4 linked regions of the Caenorhabditis elegans genome follow. The protein of the gene in region 2 purifies or fractionates together with the protein of the main gene of each other region. This does not show direct contact. Each region holds a gene or a part of one and is shown on either strand. Other genes may lie near its edges. The genes, in order: snr-7, sart-3, lsm-4 and lsm-5.

The links.
Region 1: the proteins of sart-3 (region 2) and snr-7 purify together in Caenorhabditis elegans (affinity purification with mass spectrometry, with the first as the bait; one study listed by BioGRID). This does not show direct contact.
Region 3: the proteins of sart-3 (region 2) and lsm-4 purify together in Caenorhabditis elegans (affinity purification with mass spectrometry, with the first as the bait; one study listed by BioGRID). This does not show direct contact.
Region 4: the proteins of sart-3 (region 2) and lsm-5 purify together in Caenorhabditis elegans (affinity purification with mass spectrometry, with the first as the bait; one study listed by BioGRID). This does not show direct contact.

What each region holds. Positions count from the first base shown.
Region 1 is NC_003279.8:2,724,334-2,728,454, forward strand, and holds snr-7 (putative small nuclear ribonucleoprotein G), read left to right. Parts: upstream 1-2,680; 5' UTR 2,681-2,684; coding exon 2,685-2,813; intron 2,814-2,866; coding exon 2,867-2,971; 3' UTR 2,972-3,049; downstream 3,050-4,121. Other genes in the region: Y71F9B.6 (Cyclin N-terminal domain-containing protein), read right to left, coding at 894-1,068, 1,425-1,574, 1,653-1,737, 1,806-1,933, 1,985-2,142, 2,196-2,318. UniProt on the Caenorhabditis elegans protein: Plays a role in pre-mRNA splicing as a core component of the spliceosomal U1, U2, U4 and U5 small nuclear ribonucleoproteins (snRNPs), the building blocks of the spliceosome.
Region 2 is NC_003282.8:11,328,433-11,335,590, forward strand, and holds sart-3 (Spliceosome associated factor 3, U4/U6 recycling protein), read right to left. Parts: upstream 4,461-7,158; 5' UTR 4,440-4,460; coding exon 4,356-4,439; intron 4,306-4,355; coding exon 4,157-4,305; intron 4,107-4,156; coding exon 3,938-4,106; intron 3,897-3,937; coding exon 3,800-3,896; intron 3,756-3,799; coding exon 3,358-3,755; intron 3,210-3,357; coding exon 3,061-3,209; intron 3,002-3,060; coding exon 2,400-3,001; intron 2,353-2,399; coding exon 2,015-2,352; intron 1,958-2,014; coding exon 1,844-1,957; intron 1,795-1,843; coding exon 1,500-1,794; intron 1,448-1,499; coding exon 1,332-1,447; 3' UTR 1,050-1,331; downstream 1-1,049. Other genes in the region: leo-1 (RNA polymerase-associated protein LEO1), read right to left, coding at 1-26, 75-169, 217-390, 438-834, 882-937; F54E12.2 (Transcription termination factor 2), read right to left, coding at 4,810-4,966, 5,022-5,333, 5,381-5,726, 5,772-5,884, 5,935-6,936, 6,993-7,158. UniProt on the Caenorhabditis elegans protein: U6 snRNP-binding protein that functions as a recycling factor of the splicing machinery. Promotes the initial reassembly of U4 and U6 snRNPs following their ejection from the spliceosome during its maturation.
Region 3 is NC_003280.10:7,250,755-7,255,121, forward strand, and holds lsm-4 (putative U6 snRNA-associated Sm-like protein LSm4), read right to left. Parts: upstream 2,410-4,367; 5' UTR 2,348-2,409; coding exon 2,342-2,347; intron 2,300-2,341; coding exon 2,159-2,299; intron 1,928-2,158; coding exon 1,850-1,927; intron 1,842-1,849; coding exon of another isoform or gene 1,808-1,841; exon of another isoform or gene 1,800-1,807; coding exon 1,653-1,799; 3' UTR 1,478-1,652; downstream 1-1,477. Other genes in the region: prx-13 (Peroxisomal membrane protein PEX13), read right to left, coding at 136-274, 329-596, 1,062-1,144, 1,196-1,249; ada-2 (SANT domain-containing protein), read left to right, coding at 1,808-1,841, 2,666-2,778, 2,835-3,295, 3,341-3,614, 3,665-3,893, 3,951-4,367. UniProt on the Caenorhabditis elegans protein: Plays a role in pre-mRNA splicing as component of the U4/U6-U5 tri-snRNP complex that is involved in spliceosome assembly, and as component of the precatalytic spliceosome (spliceosome B complex).
Region 4 is NC_003283.11:15,567,674-15,571,525, reverse strand, and holds lsm-5 (U6 snRNA-associated Sm-like protein LSm5), read right to left. Parts: upstream 1,147-3,852; coding exon 871-1,146; downstream 1-870. Other genes in the region: fbxa-95 (F-box domain-containing protein), read right to left, coding at 1-37; acs-2 (Medium-chain acyl-CoA ligase ACSF2, mitochondrial), read right to left, coding at 1,841-2,005, 2,053-2,169, 2,402-2,777, 2,822-3,483, 3,533-3,784, 3,834-3,852.

The sequences.
Region 1 (4,121 bases), on a different chromosome or scaffold from region 2:
CGGTGGAGTAGCGCCAGTGGGGAAATAGCTTTAAAACACGCCTATGGTACCACAATGACCGAATATCATGATAAAAAATTCAGAAAAATGTTCTAAATTTTATATGATTTTTTGAAAATTGAAAAAATCTCAGTTTTCCCCTAATTCCTATTTGAATTACCGCCATTTGGATTTGTTCGATGGAGCGCGCTTGCACGTTTTTAAATTAATTTATTTTATTTTTTGTTATTTTCCACCGATTTTTAATGTTTTCGGTGTATTTTTGGTGGAATTTTAGAGAAAAAGTCAAAATAAATGCAAATTTTTGATTAAAAAGCAAACAGGCGTAAAAATCAAAAAGTAACGCTTTTAAACGATTTCGAACCTGAATTAATTGATTTCACTGATTTACGCCTGTAAGAGTGCTTTTTAATTGAAAATTTGCAATCATTTTGACTTTTTCTCTAATATTCGAGCAAAAATACACCGAAAACATTAAAAATCGGTGGAAAATAACAAAAAATAAAATAAATAAATTTAAAAACGTGCAAGCGCGCTCAATCGAACAAATCCAATTGGCGGAAATTCGAATAGGAATTAGGCAAAAACTGAGATTTTTTCAATTTTCAAAAAATCATGTAAAATTTAGAACATTTTTCAAAAATTTTTTATCATGATATTCGGCCATTGTGGCCCCATAGGCATGTTTTAAAGCAATTTCCTCACTGGCGCTACTCCATCTTTAAACAGTACGAAAATCAACGATATAAAGTGAAATAAACGAGCAAAATTTGCAAAAATACGAATTTTCGCCTGCTACGACACGAAAAACTCGGTAAAATTGAAGATTTTAGCTAAAATTCGCCTTTTTTCCGCGGATTTTGAATCTTAAAATTCAAAATTCAAAGCCTCACCCTCCGCTCTTTCCTGGAAATCGAGGCGGGCGACTTGTCGAACAGCGTGAAAAACGGCGAAGGATTCCGCTTTCGGCGAATCTGCCCCAGAATTACTTGATCTTCAGCGTCTCGGAAGACAAATGGCCGCAGCTCTTCTGTTGATAAGTGAGCCTGATGCCGCATGCGATCCGAGCTGGAAAATTGGATTATAAGGTGAAATTATGGGAATTTATCGTATTTTTTCAAGATTTTGACCTAAAGGCGCACGGATTTTTAGCAAATTGCAGCGTTTTTTCTTACTTTCTGCTGAAAATTTGCGTTGTTTTCCTTTTTTTCGGTCTGAAAACTGAAAAATTTAACAAAAAAAACTACCACATGCTGTCTTTTCGCGTCGATGCACAGCTGAATAAACCCATGTGCCTTTAAGATCGCATAGCCGAAATTTCTGAATTCCTGCGCTTTTTTTGTGAAATTTTGTTAGATAATTGCCAGTTTTCGGGGAAAATTAGGTAGAAGATATAAATTATAGAGGAGATGTTAATTCTAAACCTTCCAAAAATCGATTTCGATCGGAATTTCTTCTTATTGACGGTTGTGTTGGCGAAAATCGGCGCCAGCGGATCCACGTAGTCGCTGTTCGGCGAGATATACGAGAAAACTGCCAGAGGCTGGCCATTCGTCGAGGTGCAGATGTAAAATCTGAAAATGTGGGTTAGTTCGCAACACGGAACGGTTAGTGTGGGGGATTTTAGAGGATTTTATGATGGTTGAACTCACCTATCTGCATGGGTAATGGTGCTTTTGAGCCTTCTCAGAAAACTGAACTGATTTGAAGAACAAGATGGTGATTCTGAGCGAAATTCTGTGAAAATTTTGAATTAATTTATTTTATTTCAAGTTTTGTAAGCTTTTATAAGCTCGCCAGCTCACCAATCAGCCCACTATCTTCTCTCCCGACGCCTTCTTCAAGAATCGGAGATCTACTGTTTGTGGCGGTCATTGAATAGATCACGTCGTCGGAGCTCATGATTTTCGCGATTCTTCGGAAGATTGAAGTTCTATAAATAGAGAAAATTAATTAATTATATTGATTTTCAACTAATTTTCACTTTTTCTGTGGTGTCTCCGCGTATTCCTGCGGCAAATTCGACGAGCTTAGCCGTTCTCCGAGTGAAGCGGATGTTCCGAGTGAGATCACTGATTCATTGTTGCGGATGGTGGTTGTGGAGCTTGCGCCGTTTGAAAACTTCTTTTCCGTTGGAGATATCTGAAAAAATTATCAATTAGTTACGAAAATCGCTGAAAAACCAAGATTCTCACCTTCGGAAGGCCTTTTGTTTGGAAAATTCGAAGATTTGTGTCATTGTGGCTTCCATCAACACTGATATTTGATAAGAAATTTTGTGCGACGAGAATATGATAGTTACTCTTCTTTTTTACCATCTAAAATTGGAAAAACGAAAAGAAAAAGCTCGGAAATCCGATAAGAATTGTGTGAGTACGGTGTGCAAGCGTCTGCAACTTGTCGTCATTTATGGTGTACCAAGCGTGGTGTTTGCGTACTATTCGAATTTCGAAAAATAATTTCGTCGATTTTAGCCTTTTTCATCCAATTTTCCTGATAATTATCATGTTTATTCTTTGAAAAATTAGTTAAAAAATGTTATAATTAATGTATTATCTGAATTTTCGATAGGTGGAAGTTGAAAAATGAGCTTTATTTTCTATTTTAAGTAAAATCTGTTTCTTTGATGATTTTTCCATTCTTCATTTTCATTTCCCCCTGCAAATTCTCAATTTTTCAGAAAAATGAGTAAGACACATCCACCAGAGCTCAAAAAGTACATGGACAAGGAGATGGACTTGAAGCTCAACGGAAACCGTCGCGTCTCTGGAATCCTCCGCGGTTTCGATCCATTCATGAACATGGTCATCGACGTATGTTTCTTTTTCCGTTTTTGTCTAATTTATTCTAAAATTTAATATTGCAGGAAGCTGTCGAGTACCAAAAGGACGGAGGATCCGTCAACCTCGGCATGACTGTCATTCGCGGAAACTCCGTCGTCATCATGGAGCCCAAGGAGAGAATCTCCTAGATTTTTCGATCTCCACAATTTCCTGTCACTTTCTCAATGTTTTCATTTTCAAATTTTGATATTAAATTTTTGAACCTTTTTTTTGATAATTTTTGATAACTACGTGGTCAAAACCCACTTCTCATCTCTGATTCACGTGAATTTCGTATAGATAAGAACTTCGCAAATAGAATCAATTCACAAACAAATGTACCAAAAGTTATGTTTTATTATTGCAGGCATAAAAAAAATCAATCGTAAAGCTTTTTTTCAGCATTTTGTTTTTCCACGGCTCAAATTGAACGAAATAGTGTTCATTTTGAAGAGAGGCACGAAACAGAGTAACAAAAACACGGAGAGACTTGTGTATCCCTCTTCTCTTTCCACTATGTGCGGTCGACGACGCTCTCCACATTTTTCTCTCTTTATTCTTCTCGTTACTCTTACTCGGCACAACAGCAGCAAAAAAGAATACTCTTTCCCCACTTCTTATCTCTTTTTCTGCCGACCTATTTTCTTCTTTCAAAACAGAAAAATGTTCCACACACACGCCTATCATCATCCGAAAGCTGTACGAGATGTGCTTTCTCATCTTTCCGTACTCTTGTGGCTGCAGCCGTCGAAGAGTTGAAATATCAATTTTCAAAACGCGGCAGATTCTCAGCCGGAATTCAGTGAATTCGCTTGATTTCTCGCCAAAATATAGAAATCAGACGATTTATCTGAAAATAACACCCATTTCAGTTGAAACATGCGAGAAAATGCTGAAAAATAGCCTGAATTTGCTAATTTCAGGCCATTTTTGAGCTCTTCCTCAAGTGTTTCGACTGAAATAAATGTTTGTTTTAGATAAATCAAGTGATTTTCTATAATTTCACATCAATTTTAAATGAATCAACATGTCACAATAGGTCATTTTGAAAAATTGGCGCCAATCCCCAAACCTGATCTGGATTTGAACAAGAGTTTTCTACTTCGATTTCACATTTTGCTGAGAAAAACCGAAAATTATCGATGTTCTCTTTTGAAAATTGAACGCTTTTCAGTGATAATTAGGAAAAATCACCTTTTTTCAAGTCGAATAATTTCAAAAGCTTCAGAAAATCCAATGTTTTGACTCGAATTCAGGAAAAACCGGAAGAAAATCGCGAAATAATATAAAATCCGAATA
Region 2 (7,158 bases):
TTTCGTTTCCGAGGTATAGAGACATTCTGAAATTAAGTCACGATATGGAAATTTTGCATCAATTGAAAACTAACGTTCCATCGTCCCATTTTACAATTTTTGCATTACTCTCTCGAATTTCTTTTCCATTTTCATCTTTGCGAACTCGCCAGCGAAGTGTATTTTCCACCTTAAAAATTGTATATTTGATGAGATGTATTTATAACACAGACATACTCTCAATTTGAGACGTGTTCGTCCTTCATCATCCAATTTCGCCTGCTCATCATCTTCGTCTTCCTCGTAATGTTGTGGATCAAATGGATGAGTGGCGACTGATAGAAAGTTTGGCATTCTGACAAAATGTGGTGGATCTGCAGCGTACTCCAAAGTAACACGACCTGTTACCATCTGGAAAATCAATGTTTTAATCACATTATTTCATTGAAAATGTTTACTTCAGTATCATGAACATGCTCCTTTGCTTTTTCATCTTCATCTATTTCATCTGGATTAGCCATCACAATTCCTTGCAAATCATTCAAACTTCCACGACTCTCCGCATCGGAATCTGACAATCGTGCTCTTGTATTTGATTCTTTCGGCTTTCCTTCTCTGTCGGAATCATCGTCGGAAGAGCCAGAGAGATCACCGAACAAACCACCACCAGCACCGGGGGAACTCTTTTCACCTCCTCCTCTCGGATGAATGTTATCGTCAGAAGAATCGGACAATTGTCGAGGAGCAGGACGAGAATCATCATCATCGTCGGACTCATTTAATATCGCTCTTTTCTTAGACGGTTCTTGTTTTTTTGGTGAATCTGGCGACGATCCACGAGAAGATGGAGTTGATCTGAATTGAATTATATTATTTTAGAAACACAATTACCATTTACTTACGATTTAACTGGTGTTCCTGGTGCAGAAGCGTCAGAATTACCCTCAGAAGATGACATCTGAATTGAAAATATTGCATACCTAAGTTCTTTGAATAGCGAAAGTAGCAAAACAAAGTAATAATTTGGGGTCGAATATACCGATAAAAATTGAATAATAAAAGTAGTTGTTGAAAATTCAGATTTTCTTATCCATAGGCAATAAGTTGAAAATGAATATTGGGGGATCTCTATTACAAATTATTAGCAAACAAAAAGAAAACAAGGATTATGAACAGTTATGAAACTAAATCTTGCAATTCGTAGTGAAGAACAAATATAATTATAGCGAGAACATCAAAAATAGCATCTACCGGAATTTTAATTGGAAAGGAGACACTGGGGAACGTAATAGAAATTAAATAACTAAATGAATCTTGATATGAACAATGAAAGTTTCTGGTGAAAAACGGCCCTAATTTTTCATAAACATTTTACGGAATTGATCATTTGAAAGTGGCTGAGACGTTGAAGTGCCTTCGGAAACATCCATTGCGTCCAGCCGAGCAGTGATTTGAGGAGTTTTGTTTGCTGAAAATGGATTTTTTTATGCTAAGCTGGGAACTAAAGATGATATACTTACTAATAGCTCTGGGAACCAATTGCAGTTTTGCAGCATGTCCTTTTCTAGGTCCATCTTCTTCCAAACTTGCTCCAATTGCTGCTGGTTTTCCATGCGATTTATCCTTTTTTACTGGTGGATTGGATAACGCTACCTCTAGTTCTCTTTCTCGAAGCATCAATTTATCACCAGAAGCAACACATTTTTGAGCACTTGCTTCTGTGTCAAAATCTACGAATGCGATTCCTTTTGGTTTTCCATCTTTATGAGTCACGCGTCGAACACTGGTTACTGTACCGAATTTCGAGAATAATGCCTGAAATGTATCGATTTAGAATATAAAATGATAGATAAGTATATATTACCTTTAACTCATCGTCGGTTGCCTGGAAGTGGACATTGCGAACGAAGACTTTCGATTTTTCAAGAGTGGTTGAGAATTTGAATCCAACCCGTTTTTCTGGATCGTTGGCGGAGATCTGAATTTTCAGAAATTAAAATTTCACAAATATTTATAAAGTAAAATTAAAACTTACAAACATTGGCCTTCCCTTCACAGGAACTCGATCTTTCAAGAGAGCTTGCTGTGCCTTCTGATCATTCTCCATTACAACATAGGCGAACCCTCTGTGCACAAGATCCGAATTCGCTTTTCTTGCGAATCGAATTGAAGCAACACCTTCAATGGCTTGTCGAATTTCGTCTTCCGTCGTAGTGAAATCGAGATTAGAAACAAAAATTGTGCGAGCATCTTCCGTTCCTGGAGCTGCTTTCTGAACTGCAAAGGAACCTGGAGCTGGTGTCGACGAAGCATTTGAAGAGGATACAGCTGATGAACTTTTCGCATTGGATGGTGGAAGTGGAGCTTTGAATCCTAAAATTTAATTCAAATTAACTTCTTTACTTTTAAAAATTATTTACCTCCGTCGTCTCCTTTCACTTTTTTTACAATTGGTTCACCTCCCGACGTTCTCTTCTGAATATGATCTTGCTTTGATTTAGGAGCTGGAGCTGGTTTCTCAGAAACTTTCTTTTGTGGTCGAATGGCTCGATGAGCAACCTGTGAATTCACTTTCTCAAGAACCAAATCCAACTCAGCCAATGTTCCTTCTTCTCTTTCAAATTGAACATAGTACATATAGATTTCGTTGATGTTATCCGATACAGAATTGAGAGCTTTGTTTAGATATTTTCGAGCATTTTCTTTATCACCGAATTGTCGCTCAAGACGAACAGCTTCAATCCATTTTCCGGCAAATCTTCCGAATCCTGATGCAAGAATATCATTCCAGATATTTCGACATTTGTCCATGTTCTTCATTAATGAAGCATAGAAATATGCTTGCATTTGTCGATAATCTGCTGTAGTATCCCAAGCCATTGAAAACCATTCTCTGAGTAGCGCTGCACCTTCATCAAACACTTCAGCCATTGGAGAGTAATCCGAAGAACCAGTGAGATGAATTCGACGGCGAAGCAAAAAAGCATAGGTACGGTAAAGACTCCGTCCTTCTTCGGCAGAACTGAAATTACACCGAATAAATATATAAGACTACTGTATGTATTCAAAAAAGAAACTAACTTGATAACATTGCTTCTTGCTCGTTCCCATAATGCATCAATTTCCTCATTTGGCCGACGATCTCGTTCGAAGGCGAGAAGAGCTTGTTGATGGAGAACAAAACTGTATGGACAATGACGCAGAGCTCGAGAGTACACTTTTACAGCAACCTGAACAAAATAATTCAATAATCCAATGGAAGCTTTAGTAAAATAATAATATTCAACAATATTTTTTTCGAATCTTAAAGATAATTATAATCTCTAGACAGACCTCTGGATATTTCCGATAATTCTATAATAAAAAGTATTTCCTTACCTGTGGCAATTTAAGTTCAATATCTGCCCATGCTCCATATGCAATCCAAGCTTCCTCGTCATCGTCCAACTCAGAAACAAGCCTCTCGTGAGCCATTTTTATTCTACTAGGAATTCCACTCTTCTTCTCGTGATCAAAAAACTGTTTCAGACCTTGCTTTTTGGTTTCTTCCTGTTGAATGAGCTCCTCGAACTTTGACAATTGTTCCTTCTGTCGCATTGTTGAATTATATGTCTTTTTCAGTTCTTCGAGTTTATGATGTTGTTTGAATTCTGTGCAGAATTGTTCAGCTAAAACATAAACATCTTCGAGCTGATCTGTTGGGCAATGAAGGGCTCTCTCGAACAGAGCGAAAACTTGATCAGCGAGTCGTTGATAGTCAGGAGCATTCATAGAATCTGAAAATTATAAATTGTTGATGAAAGTACAGTAGTAAGCTCACTTTTCAGGTAGCTCATTTCATATTCCAGAAAAATCAGCCAAATGTGCCCTCCAGAATCGTACCGAGTTCCAAGGTTTTCAAGAGCTTTGCTACAAACCTGTAAAATTATAATAATTACATTTTTCAATCAAAACTTACATCTCGGCAAAACTTGAAATCCTCTTTTTTGTTTTTGTCGTTCGCAACCTTATATGCGTACATTGCTCTTTCGACCCAAATAGTGACATCGTTCTCATCAAACAGAGCTTTTTCAAACATTTCCTCGACTTCTGCGACACTTGGCTCCGGTTTTCTGTTTTGAAAATCTCTGAAATCAGTTTTTAAAAAATTATAATTAACCTATTTTTTTTAACTTACTCAATCCAGTTTTTCCAATTTAATGGATTAAGTGGGGCCCATTCGACAAATTGCCTCCTTTTGATATCAAGCTCGTCGAAGTCACCATTTTTTCGCAATAAAATCAATAATTGGTTTGCAAGAACGACACTTTGACTATCGTCGATCATCTGAAATTGTATTTTGTGTATATGAAGTATATTCGATAATTAGTTCATACCTTTTGCTTGATTTTTTGAATTTCTTCATCCAGATCCTCCATTCCGGAATCATCCGAGCCGGATTCCATATCCACATCGGACATCTTGCAGAATTTTGATGGAAACTGATACAAAAACAATAAATATTAAAATAAGAGAGAAACAGTGCAGAAAAAGCACGGAAATAACGTTTCGAATGCAAAAGTGCGATAGAGCGCGAAAGAAACGGATTTTTTAGAAGAAAAAATATTTTCTCTCCGTATTAAAATATAGTTAGCCAGAATCAAACTGATAAAAAAACAACAAAAAATTCAAATCCATGCAAGCTTTATAGAAATAATCACGGGTAATACTTATGCAATAAATAAAATTTTGCAATCCATAAGCTGAATGAATATTTACAACAGAAATGAAATGTGTGCGGGTGAGGAATGATAATATTGTACATAAAGGCTGGAATAATAGTTTTGAAGATTATTTTTCATTCAATCCGAACAGCATCTTGATATCTGCCGTCGTCAATTTGTTCATCTTGCGAGTAGCATTTCCGTCGAGAACAGACGAAGCTAGCGCGACTTTGTCCTTTTGCAGCATTACAACTCGTTGTTCGATCGTTCCTTTCGTAACCAATCTGCAAGATTAACACACATATTATGAATTTAATTTTCTTGCCGCAATCAACGAACCTATGAATGAAAACATCCTTCTTCTGCCCCATTCGATAAATTCTATCGAAAGCTTGCTGTTCGAGAGCCGGATTCCAATGCAAATCCACCATCACTAAATGATTTCCACCTGTCAGATTGAGCCCAACACCTCCCGCGGCCAGAGAGAGAAGCATAACTCGAGCACCACCTTTCTCCCGATTAAAGCTGTCCACTCTCTCTTGACGATCCTTGACCAGAACTTGTCCGGTAATTGATGTATATTTGAAACCACTTGATTTTATGTGAATTTCGATCAAATTGAGAACCGATGTCCATTGAGAAACAATGACACTGAAAAACATAAATTTGAATTTATTTTCAACTTGGTGAAAACATACACTTTCTCTTTCTTCTCCATAATGTTCTCAACAATTTCAAGTGTATTTTTAATTTTACAGCTCAGGTAGTCCGGATCGAAAATTCGTGTTGTAGCCCTCGGTTTGTCTCTTTCTTCATTGTCACCATTTCCCAACGTCATGTTCATAGTTTTCTCCAGTAACTCATTCAAATCGTCCACATTCGCTTCCTCCGCATTGTCTCCACCGATTAAGCTGAAAGCGTCCATGTCGACTCCTGTTTTTGTGATATTGAAATGAACACAAGCTTGTCGAAGACGAAGAAGAAGCATCAAAACACATGACATCTTTTCGAAGTTCGAGCCGGCTGCCAAATCACGTGGACCAACTGAAAATATTCAATATTAATTTTTTAAACATCACAGATTCTTACAATTGAAAGGATTCTGAACTTCTCCTTCCTTTCCTGCTCTTCTATTGCGACGAGGAATAAATCCATGATTTTTCATATCATTGGAATCTTGCAGAAGTTTTTTGACGAATTTTCTGAAAATTTGTTTTATGATTTTCGCCAATGTTACAAGTGAGTCACTCACTTGGCAGCCTCCATCATAATCTCATAAGCCTGTGCTTCATCTCCGTCCAACTCCAATTCGTGGACTTCTACATTTTTCGGTGGTAACTGAACTAGTTTCTGGTTTGTCACAGCACATGTTTGATCCTTTGTACGACGAAGAAGCAGGTTCTTTGTGAGCAAATTTACGCGATCAGCCATTATTGGTTTCATTGGCATGATCGATTCTTTCCAATATTTATCGTCACTGAATGGACGAATACGCAAGAATCGAACGAGACTGTAAAGATCCCAGAGATTGTTATGGATCGGAGTTCCAGAAAGGCACCATCGAGAGAATGCTGATAAACGACAGACAGCTTTCGAAGCAAGAGACTGCCGATTTTTGATGGTATGCGCCTCGTCAAGAATGACTCGAGACCAACAGATCTGAGCAAGAACGGAGTCGTCTTTTCCAACTGCTCTACGAATTCCAGTATGATTTGAATCCGATTCACCGTCAGATGAATCATCTGCTTTTGATTTAGTCCTTATTTTTTCGATTAATTCATTTGCGATAAGATTGAACGTGGTGATGACGACATCGTATCGAGCAAGACGTCTTGCATCGATGTCCCTCTGCTTTTTTGTGCCATGAAACATGTATGTCGATAGAACGCTGTCATCTAGTCTTCTATCGATTTCAGCATCCCATTGATGAATCAAACTTGCAGGAGCAACAATCAATGTTCCATTCGACGGAATTAGTCCTTGCTCTTTTACCACTTTACGTTTTTCTTTGTCTTTATCGTCATTTCCATCTTCTCTGCGAGCTCTACGAGCAGCTTTTTGATGGGCGATGAGAGAAATCATCGAAAGCGTCTTTCCTAAACCCATATCATCCGCAAGAATTCCACCAGGCTGTGGTTGAGTTTCTCTCCAACGCATCCAGGTTAGGCCTGCCTTTTGATGTGGCATCAGTTCAAGTTTGAATCCTTTCGGAGTGTCCGTGAGCTCAGTTTCATCGGGGATTGTGTGAGTGGCCCTGAAAGAGGATACACATTTTCACACAGCTTCGAGAAAAAGTTAAACAAGACTTACTCAGCAAGTTGTCGAACTACTCGATCAGAAACGAGTTGTATGCGTTTGTATTTTTCATCGGTCATCTTTCCAGACATCATTTTCTTGTTGTCCTTCTCCAACATGGCATTGAAGTCTGGCTGAGGAGCTTTGAGAGGATCCACGATATGTCTTTTTGGCAACAAAC
Region 3 (4,367 bases), on a different chromosome or scaffold from region 2:
TTATGGTACAAGAAATAAACCAAAAGAATATAGATTATTTCGAAAATGTAGTCAGAATCATTATTTATCGTATTATTCCTAATTTTAGATATTCAAACTATATTTCTCAATTCTAAACAAAATTTGAACACTTACCATACGGTTGTGATGTTCCCCAAGCCATTTCAGCAGCGCTTGCATAACTTGCTGGTTTCAATTTCAACATAACCAGTAGCCATCTCCAGAAACGATATACCCATCGGAAAACTGCCAAAGAAACAACTACTGATGACAACTGGAACAATAGAATAATTATTATCAGATTTGTTTTTTTCAATAAAAAACTCACCTGCGTCTTTAATCTTCCAAATTGCTCTACAACTCCAATAACTGCTCGAAAAGAACTATAAACTGCATTATGAGTTGAATTGAGCATGTTGGCGACAGATGAGACTGCATTTACAACTGATTCGATTGATTGAAAAGCGCCTCGAGACTGTTCTTCTGCAAGTCGAGCAAAATTGCTGTCAGGTCCTTGACCATATCCCATATGGTTGAAGCCACCACCAAATCCACCGTAACCCATTCCTCCTCCATACATTCCCCCACCACCATACCTAAACAATATACAATTTTATTAATACAAAATATTTTCAAATCGAGGCTGCGCGAAACGTAGGCCCCTTTGAGTTATACAGTAACCCATTCTCTATCATTTCGGTACTGACTTTATTCGGTAAATTACCCAGACATGATATTTTACGATTTTGCGTCAAGGATACGGTACCCGGTCTCGAAACGACACATTTTTCTTAAATATGAAAAGGTGTGCGCCTTTAAATAGTACTGTAACAGCAAACTCTCGTTGCTGAGGGACTTTCATCGTTTTTTCATGCTTCTTCTCTCTTTTTTATTAGTATACTTGAATTTAAAATTAATTTATCGGAAAAACTACGAAAAATCCATGAAAATAAGGCAGCGACGAAAGTTTGAAACTACAGTACTCTTTAAAGGCGCAGACATTTTAGCATTTACGAAAGAGCATTCAAAAAAAAAAAAAATATTTAAAAAATAAAACTTACATTCCAGACCCTGGAAACGTATTCATTCCATATCCTCCACCATAACCAAAACCTGTATTGATCATTGGATTCGACATTTGATTCTTAAATATTATCGATTAGTAGGAGTTTCAAAACAATTTATCAATAATTACATCAAATGACCTTGGCGGCAGCGGAGGTGGTTGATTTGTTGGAGGTGCGGACATTATAATTTATCTGTAATAATAAATGGAATGTCGTTATTCGATTTTGAAAAATGGATTAAATTCAAGAAAAAATAAAAGAAATGGCAACTATGAAATTGCCGTTAGTCACATTGTGGACTACAATCAATGACTGCAGCGGGCGGTTGATAAGGACAACGTCCCATACTAGACTACATTGTAGTCTAGTAAAAGAGTGGGAGGACAGATGAAAGATCTTAAGATATTGTTGAAGTATAATTCAATTTATTGTAATAAAATTTCAAAACATGTGAAACAACCCGACTTGGGGAAGATCAGAAGAGACGGAGGAAGGTTTGGTTTTTGGGTAAAAAAATAATTTCAAATACATAAATTATTTAGAGTAAACGAGAAATTGTTATCAGCAATCGAAGCACTGCAGGAATTATCGAGCTCCTCCGCGTCCGCCTCGGTTTCCACCACCTCCGCGGTGTCCTCCACGTCCTCCTCGTCCACCACCACGACCACGGGATTGCTCGCGCTGCTGTTGACGACGAACTTCGTTGACTTCAGTTTTCACGAGATCGACCACCTGGAAGAATGGGAAATGTTATGTTGTCGAAGAGAAAATCAGGTACTTACTGTTTCTGGAATTCTGAGATACTTGATAGTAGATCCCCGGACATACGCTTCTGACATTTTGAAGAACTTGTCACCGTCCTGTAATTTAACATGTATTGTTAGTCGCAAATTTGCATCAATCCGAGAGTTTTAGATGTTTGAAATATTGAGCTGACATATGAATGCAAATTAAATATGAAAGGTTCTTTCTAAATTAGAATCTGTGAGCCGTTTAAAACAAAATTATGTTTTTTTTCAATAATAACGAAAAGAAATTTCTGAATAGCCAGTTTCTCCTGGGCTAACCATTTAATTAAACGAAACACTTACTTTTGATGTGAAAATAACATCCACCAAATGAATATTCATCCACGAATCGCAGGCTTTCAGGTGACCGTTATAAGTCTCGCCGTTCTTCAACTCCACAAGCATCGGGTGGTTTTGAGCGGTTTTGAGAAGAGAAAGTGGCAACTGAAATCATACACTATTTGAGTTCAGCTTAATTCGACTTACCACCATGACTATATTGATTTAGTGGGGTTGTGATTGTTTTTCACTAGTAAAACTTAAAGTGAGACAATCTGCAAAGAATAAATTAAGATTTTAAACTGAAATTACGGCGAAAAGACAATTCGAAACAAAAAATTCCGATAAAAAAAGATTTTAATGCACACAATATTTACGTTAAACAAGGCGACCATGCGTCATTTCGGAGGGTCGTTGGTGGATGATCATTTGAAAACAGGGTTCACCTCTGCAATCGATTTTTCTTTGTTTTCATCTCAAGATTATTAGTTTTATTTTAAAACATGATTTGAGGAATTTTAATATTTATAGGTTCAATGGCTGATGATACCGGAGAACATCCGGTATGCTTCAACTGCACATTACGAGTCGACCAAACCATTCATGTCAAATGCTTTGAATGTCCTCTGCGAATTTGTATCCTCGTGAGTTGACAGATTGTGAAGTTTTTAAGAACATTATTTTATTTTTAAAATTTCAGTGTTTCCAATGCGGCGCGGAATCACCACCACATCGCCGAGGTCACAATTACGAGCTTGTCAAGCCAACAAGTAATCCCGAAGCAATGAGCTGGACACACGAAGATGAATTCGAATTGTTAAAAGCTGCTCATAAATTCAAGATGGGAAATTGGGGAGAAATAGCTGAAAGTATTGGTCGCGGAAGAAAAGATGGTCATAATTGCAAGGATTACTTTGAAAAACATTTCGTGCGTGGATGGATTGGACAATTTTCCATAAAAAGTTCAAGTTGGGATCGAATTAAATATGGGATGTATATAAATCAAACATTAGACAGTGTGCTACAAAAAAACTGTTTGGAATCAACGGAAAGAATGCTTCTGATTCGAGACGCCGTTCGTGCATCTGGAGAAAGCTGGGATGAAAACGATCCGAAACTTGCGATAAAAGTGCAACAAGTATTAGAGCAGTATGTGCAAAAGTAAGTGAAAATGTCCTATTTTTCATATATTTAGAATTTCTTCAGAGTAATCGATGGTGACATTGAAACCAAGTATGAGCGCCCAAAATTCCTTACAAATCAATATGAGACGGAGCTTAGCCCAGATGACTGTGATCCTGATAATGAAAGAGATATGAAATCGAAGCGATCAGTAAAACAGGAAATAAATACTGATGATAGTGATAATGACAATTCGCCGGGCCCGTCTTCCAGTTGTCGGAAAAAGGGGCCTCCGAGTCCAAAGAGAAGAAAAACTACTCGAGTTATGAGAGAATCAAGCAGTGATTCGGACGATGATGTGAGTTTAAGGAAAATAACTAAATTCAGTTTTATGTGTATTTTTTCCAGAAAAGTCAAGCTTCTGATAAAGACACCTACCACGGCATGGAACGCGAAACAGAAGAAGAAGATCCTCCAAGCGCTTTTGAGACTGCACAGGAATTTGATACAGAAGATGAAGAAGAAGAGAAAAAACCAAAGAGAGGAACAGCTTCGAGCTCAAAGAGACGAAAGCGAAGGAGGATGTGGGTTTCGAAAAAAGATAGAAGATTGCATGAATTCCGTAAAAAGATGAACCGTGAGCAGAAACAAGGAGAAAAAAAGTTAGAAACTCTCGGCGCAATTTGTTCTTTAGAAGAAGTTAAAGAGCTCAGAAGTGCATATCCTCGTCTACTTCATGAAAGTGGTGTATCAAAGTCGGAAACTCGTCCAAAAATGAGAAGAAGTGATGAGTTGAAAATTCTTGGATACAATAACGAACGTGAAGAATTGGAGTGTGAATGGTTCAATGAAGCTGAACAACTTATCAGTCGCCTCACAATATCTGCTACGGAACCTCAGAAAGATCAGAGACTCGATATGGAAAATGATATTAAGTTCGCCCGTTTGAGACATTACGTTCGTCTACTCGGAATTCGGAAGGCTAAACGAAATACTGTGCTTGAACATGACAAGATAAATGAATTCATGAAATTCTACCAAGAAGCATGCTACGCAGCAGCCAAACGTCCAGTGAGCCAGCAGGAGATAATGGATTCACGTACTGAAAAGG
Region 4 (3,852 bases), on a different chromosome or scaffold from region 2:
ATAGGGAATAAGAGTCGCGGAGAGCTATTTGAGACATTACTTTCTTCTGAAATTACAAAATTCAATGAGAAATTGCGGAAAAAAACAGCGGAACGGTAAAAAAACACATCGTTGTTTTATTGCTCAGCTTAAAAATTTTAGGTTTGATTGGCTGGACACGCCCACTTTTTGAAATTTGCGAGAAACCAGGCAATAAATAATTAATTAATGATTTTTCCTCAACAAAATAACAAGTTTAATGATAAATTATATCCCAAAACGGCGAAAGGCGCTTTAAAAACATTTCGAAAAAAAAAACAAATTTGGTTGCGCGTCAGTTATGATACATTATACGCATTTACGTATTCTGGGAAATACAGTACTATCGGGAAACTTTTTTGATTTTTTGGAAAAAATTGGCAGAAAACTTAAAATAAATACAGTTCAACTTAAGAATTTTGTCATTTAACAGGACAAATTAAGGTTGCTATCAAACACGATAAGTATTTTCACTTTTTCACGTATTTTGGGCGATTCTGCGATTATTTTTGTATTTTCAGCTCGAGCAGAATTCGAAAAATTATTTCCAGGGACGATCTGAACAATTAAGCCTTTTTAGAGCATCAGAAAGCTGCTATCTATTCTCAACACGTGCTGAATATGATCCTACAAGACCTGCAAGATGTACAAGTACTTGTTAAGTGATAAGAAAAAAAAGAGAAAAATGCTGAAAAAACAGATTTAAAAAAAATTGTTTTCTTTTTGCTTCTTCATTCTGTTTTGTTCCTGTTATAAAATTTTCCAAAATTTCCTTCAATTTTTATTTCAAAATCGGAGAGATTCGTGGCAAAATAGAAAGTATTAGAAAATCACAATATTCACAGATATCAATTAAATCTCTGGTCCTTCTCCTCCCGGCACGAGCATCGTGATGTGATTTCCGTTGAGAAGAATCGTGTCCAACTTGGTCATTCGCTTGCCGTCGGCGGTGTTCTCGTATTCGACGACGTCCTCCAGAACCATGTTCACGTAGTCATCGAAGCCTGTCAGAGTGCCGACGATCTCCTTGTCGTTCTTCATTATCACCCAGATTTTCGAGCCGATGCACTTGTCAATGAGCTCCAGTGGGAGAAGTGTGTTTGGGTTGGTGGATGTTGAGGTTGCCATGGTTTCTGGAAAGAAAATCGGGTAAAATTTGAGAGGAATTGCTGAAAAACAGGAAAAATGAGGGGAAAAGATGATATTTATCAAGTTTTTTTAAAATTTTTCCTCACAAAAATTTTTTCAAAGCCTATTTTTCCAGAATTTTTGATGTTTTCTCGCTGAATTCACCGGTAATTTGCACATAAATTTCATTTTCAGTAAAATTCGTGTTAATTTCCAATCGATTTTAGAAAATTTTGATGAAAAGTCGTTTCTACAAGAATTTTGCTGGAATAATCGAAAATCATATGAAAAATACAGTTAAAACAATACCATTAATGCAATTTTAAAATATTTTAACAATAAAAACTCACAAAATTCCAAGAAAATCGAGGGAAAACGAAGAAAATCCAACAAAAAAATGTTTTCGATTTTAAAAAAATGTGTGTCGATTTACGGTAAGCAAGGCGACTATGCGTCATTTCGGAGTGTCGTTGTACACTTTTGGAGGGAATTTTGAATTTTAAAGCTATTTATTCAGAGAAAATCGCAATTTCTGTACAAGTCTCACAATTAAATACATGGCAAATACACGGAAGAGTACATAAAAACCCGGTTAAATATGTCACTATTACAATTATAGCGGTTAGACCGTAAAAAGCAAGGAAATCCCAGCGAAAAGGCAACTTAAAATATAGGAAATATGTTCAACCCGATTTTAATTGTCGACAGCTTCTGTGAAGTGAGACTTGACAGTTCCGAGACCCAACAGCTCTTTGGAAATCTTTTGGATTTCGAATTTCTTGACTTTTCCGGAAATTGTGAGAGGGAATTCGGACTCCTTTTTGATGAGCACGTACTTTGGAACCTTGTAGTGAGCCATCTGGAAATTTCGACTGTATATTTTAAAATAATGGATTAATAACTTACTCCTCTCTTACAAGCCTTCTTAATGTGCTCCGCGGTGATCTTTCCTTCATCCTCAACGCGAAGACGCACCCAGGCGCAGATGTTCTCTCCGTACCTGTCATCTGGCACACCGACGACCTGGAATTTTTTTGTTGAAAAGTTAGGCCATAAGTTTGAAGTTCAGGCCATAAGTAGTCATGGTGCCCTTGATTTAAACGAGAATAACTCGCCAGTTGTTACAAGTATCAAAAAGTTGCCAACTGAGTAAATGTAGAGAATTTTCTGTAGATTATTTTAATAAACTTTTTGATATTTTAATAAACTTTTTGATTGGACCCCCAAGAGCAAAGATAGAAGCTCCCAAACTTACATGAGCATCAGCGACATAGTCCAACTTATGCAAGAACTGCTCGATTTCGGTCGGATAGACGTTCTCACCACCCTTCACAATCATGTCACGAGTTCTACCGACAATATTGATAGTTCCATCCTCGTTCATCGTGGCGGTATCTCCAGATTTGTACCAGCGATCACGTGTAATTGCCAAGTTGGTCTTGTCGTGGTCGGCCCAGTAGCCGAGCATAGTCGAGTAGCCACGAGACCAGAGCTCTCCTTTAGCTCCAGTTGGCACGGGGACTCCAAATTCATCGACAATGGCGAGTTCTTGATGTGGCATCACTGACCCGACGGACTTGATTCGCTCGAATGGATCCACGTGGAGTTCCGACATGGTGACTAGAGGGGATCTGAATTCAGCTGTAAGATGGCATTTCGACAAAGAAGAACTTACGTCTCGGTAGATCCATAGATCACTGAAAAATCAGTCATTCTCATCTCCTTCACCATCTTCTCGCACAAAGCCATCGGACATGGGGCTCCTCCGATAACACCCCCTCGAAGGGATGAGATGTCGAATTGCTTCATAAGTGGAGACTTGAGCACGTCAATAAACATGGTCGGTGTGCCGAACATCGTGGTGCATTTCTCATTTTGAATAGCCTCGAAGATATCCGGAACATGGTAGGACTTTGATGGGAAGACCACAGTTTGTCCATGATTGACCGCGTTGATCACTCCGACCGCACATCCGAAGCAATGGTAAAGAGGGTTTGGGATACAGATTCTGTGATCCTCTCTATCCCATCCAAGGCGAATTCCTGCGAAATATGCGTTGTTGTTCAGCCCGAAATGGGTCAGAGTTGCTCCTTTTGGATGACCAGTGGTTCCACTTGTGAATTGCATGTTTACTGGCTCATCCGGTCGAAGTTTGCGATCCATGTCTTCCAGCTTTGCGCGTTCTGCACTTCCAGCAGCATGGATTAAGTCAGAGTAGACCCAGGCTCCGTGGACGGGGACGTCATCTCCGTAGAGCACAATGTGGCGGAGCTCTGGGATGTCATGGGATTTGATGTGTCCAACTCCTGGCTGGCCACGTCGCATTTCTGGCATTGCCTGGAAGAGTTTTTTAGACTAGAACGTGCAATTTATGATCTACACTTACCTCAAGCATTGTGTGAACATAGTTGCTGTGCTTGTGTCTCTTTGGTGCAAAGAGCACCTTCATTCCAGTTTTTCTCATCACAAAACGAAGTTCTTCGTGGAGGTAGTGAGGATTGACATTGACCTGAATGACTCCTGCAAATGCACATGCATACTGGAGAACCACCCATTCGTAGTAGTTTGGTCCCCAGACTCCGACACGATCTCCCTTCTCGAGACCGAGAGTGTAGAGCGAGGCTGCCATTTGACGGACCTGAAAGTTTACAGCCTTTTGTCAAAGAGCCTAGGAAAGGGGAACTCACGTCATGGTAGAACTCCTCA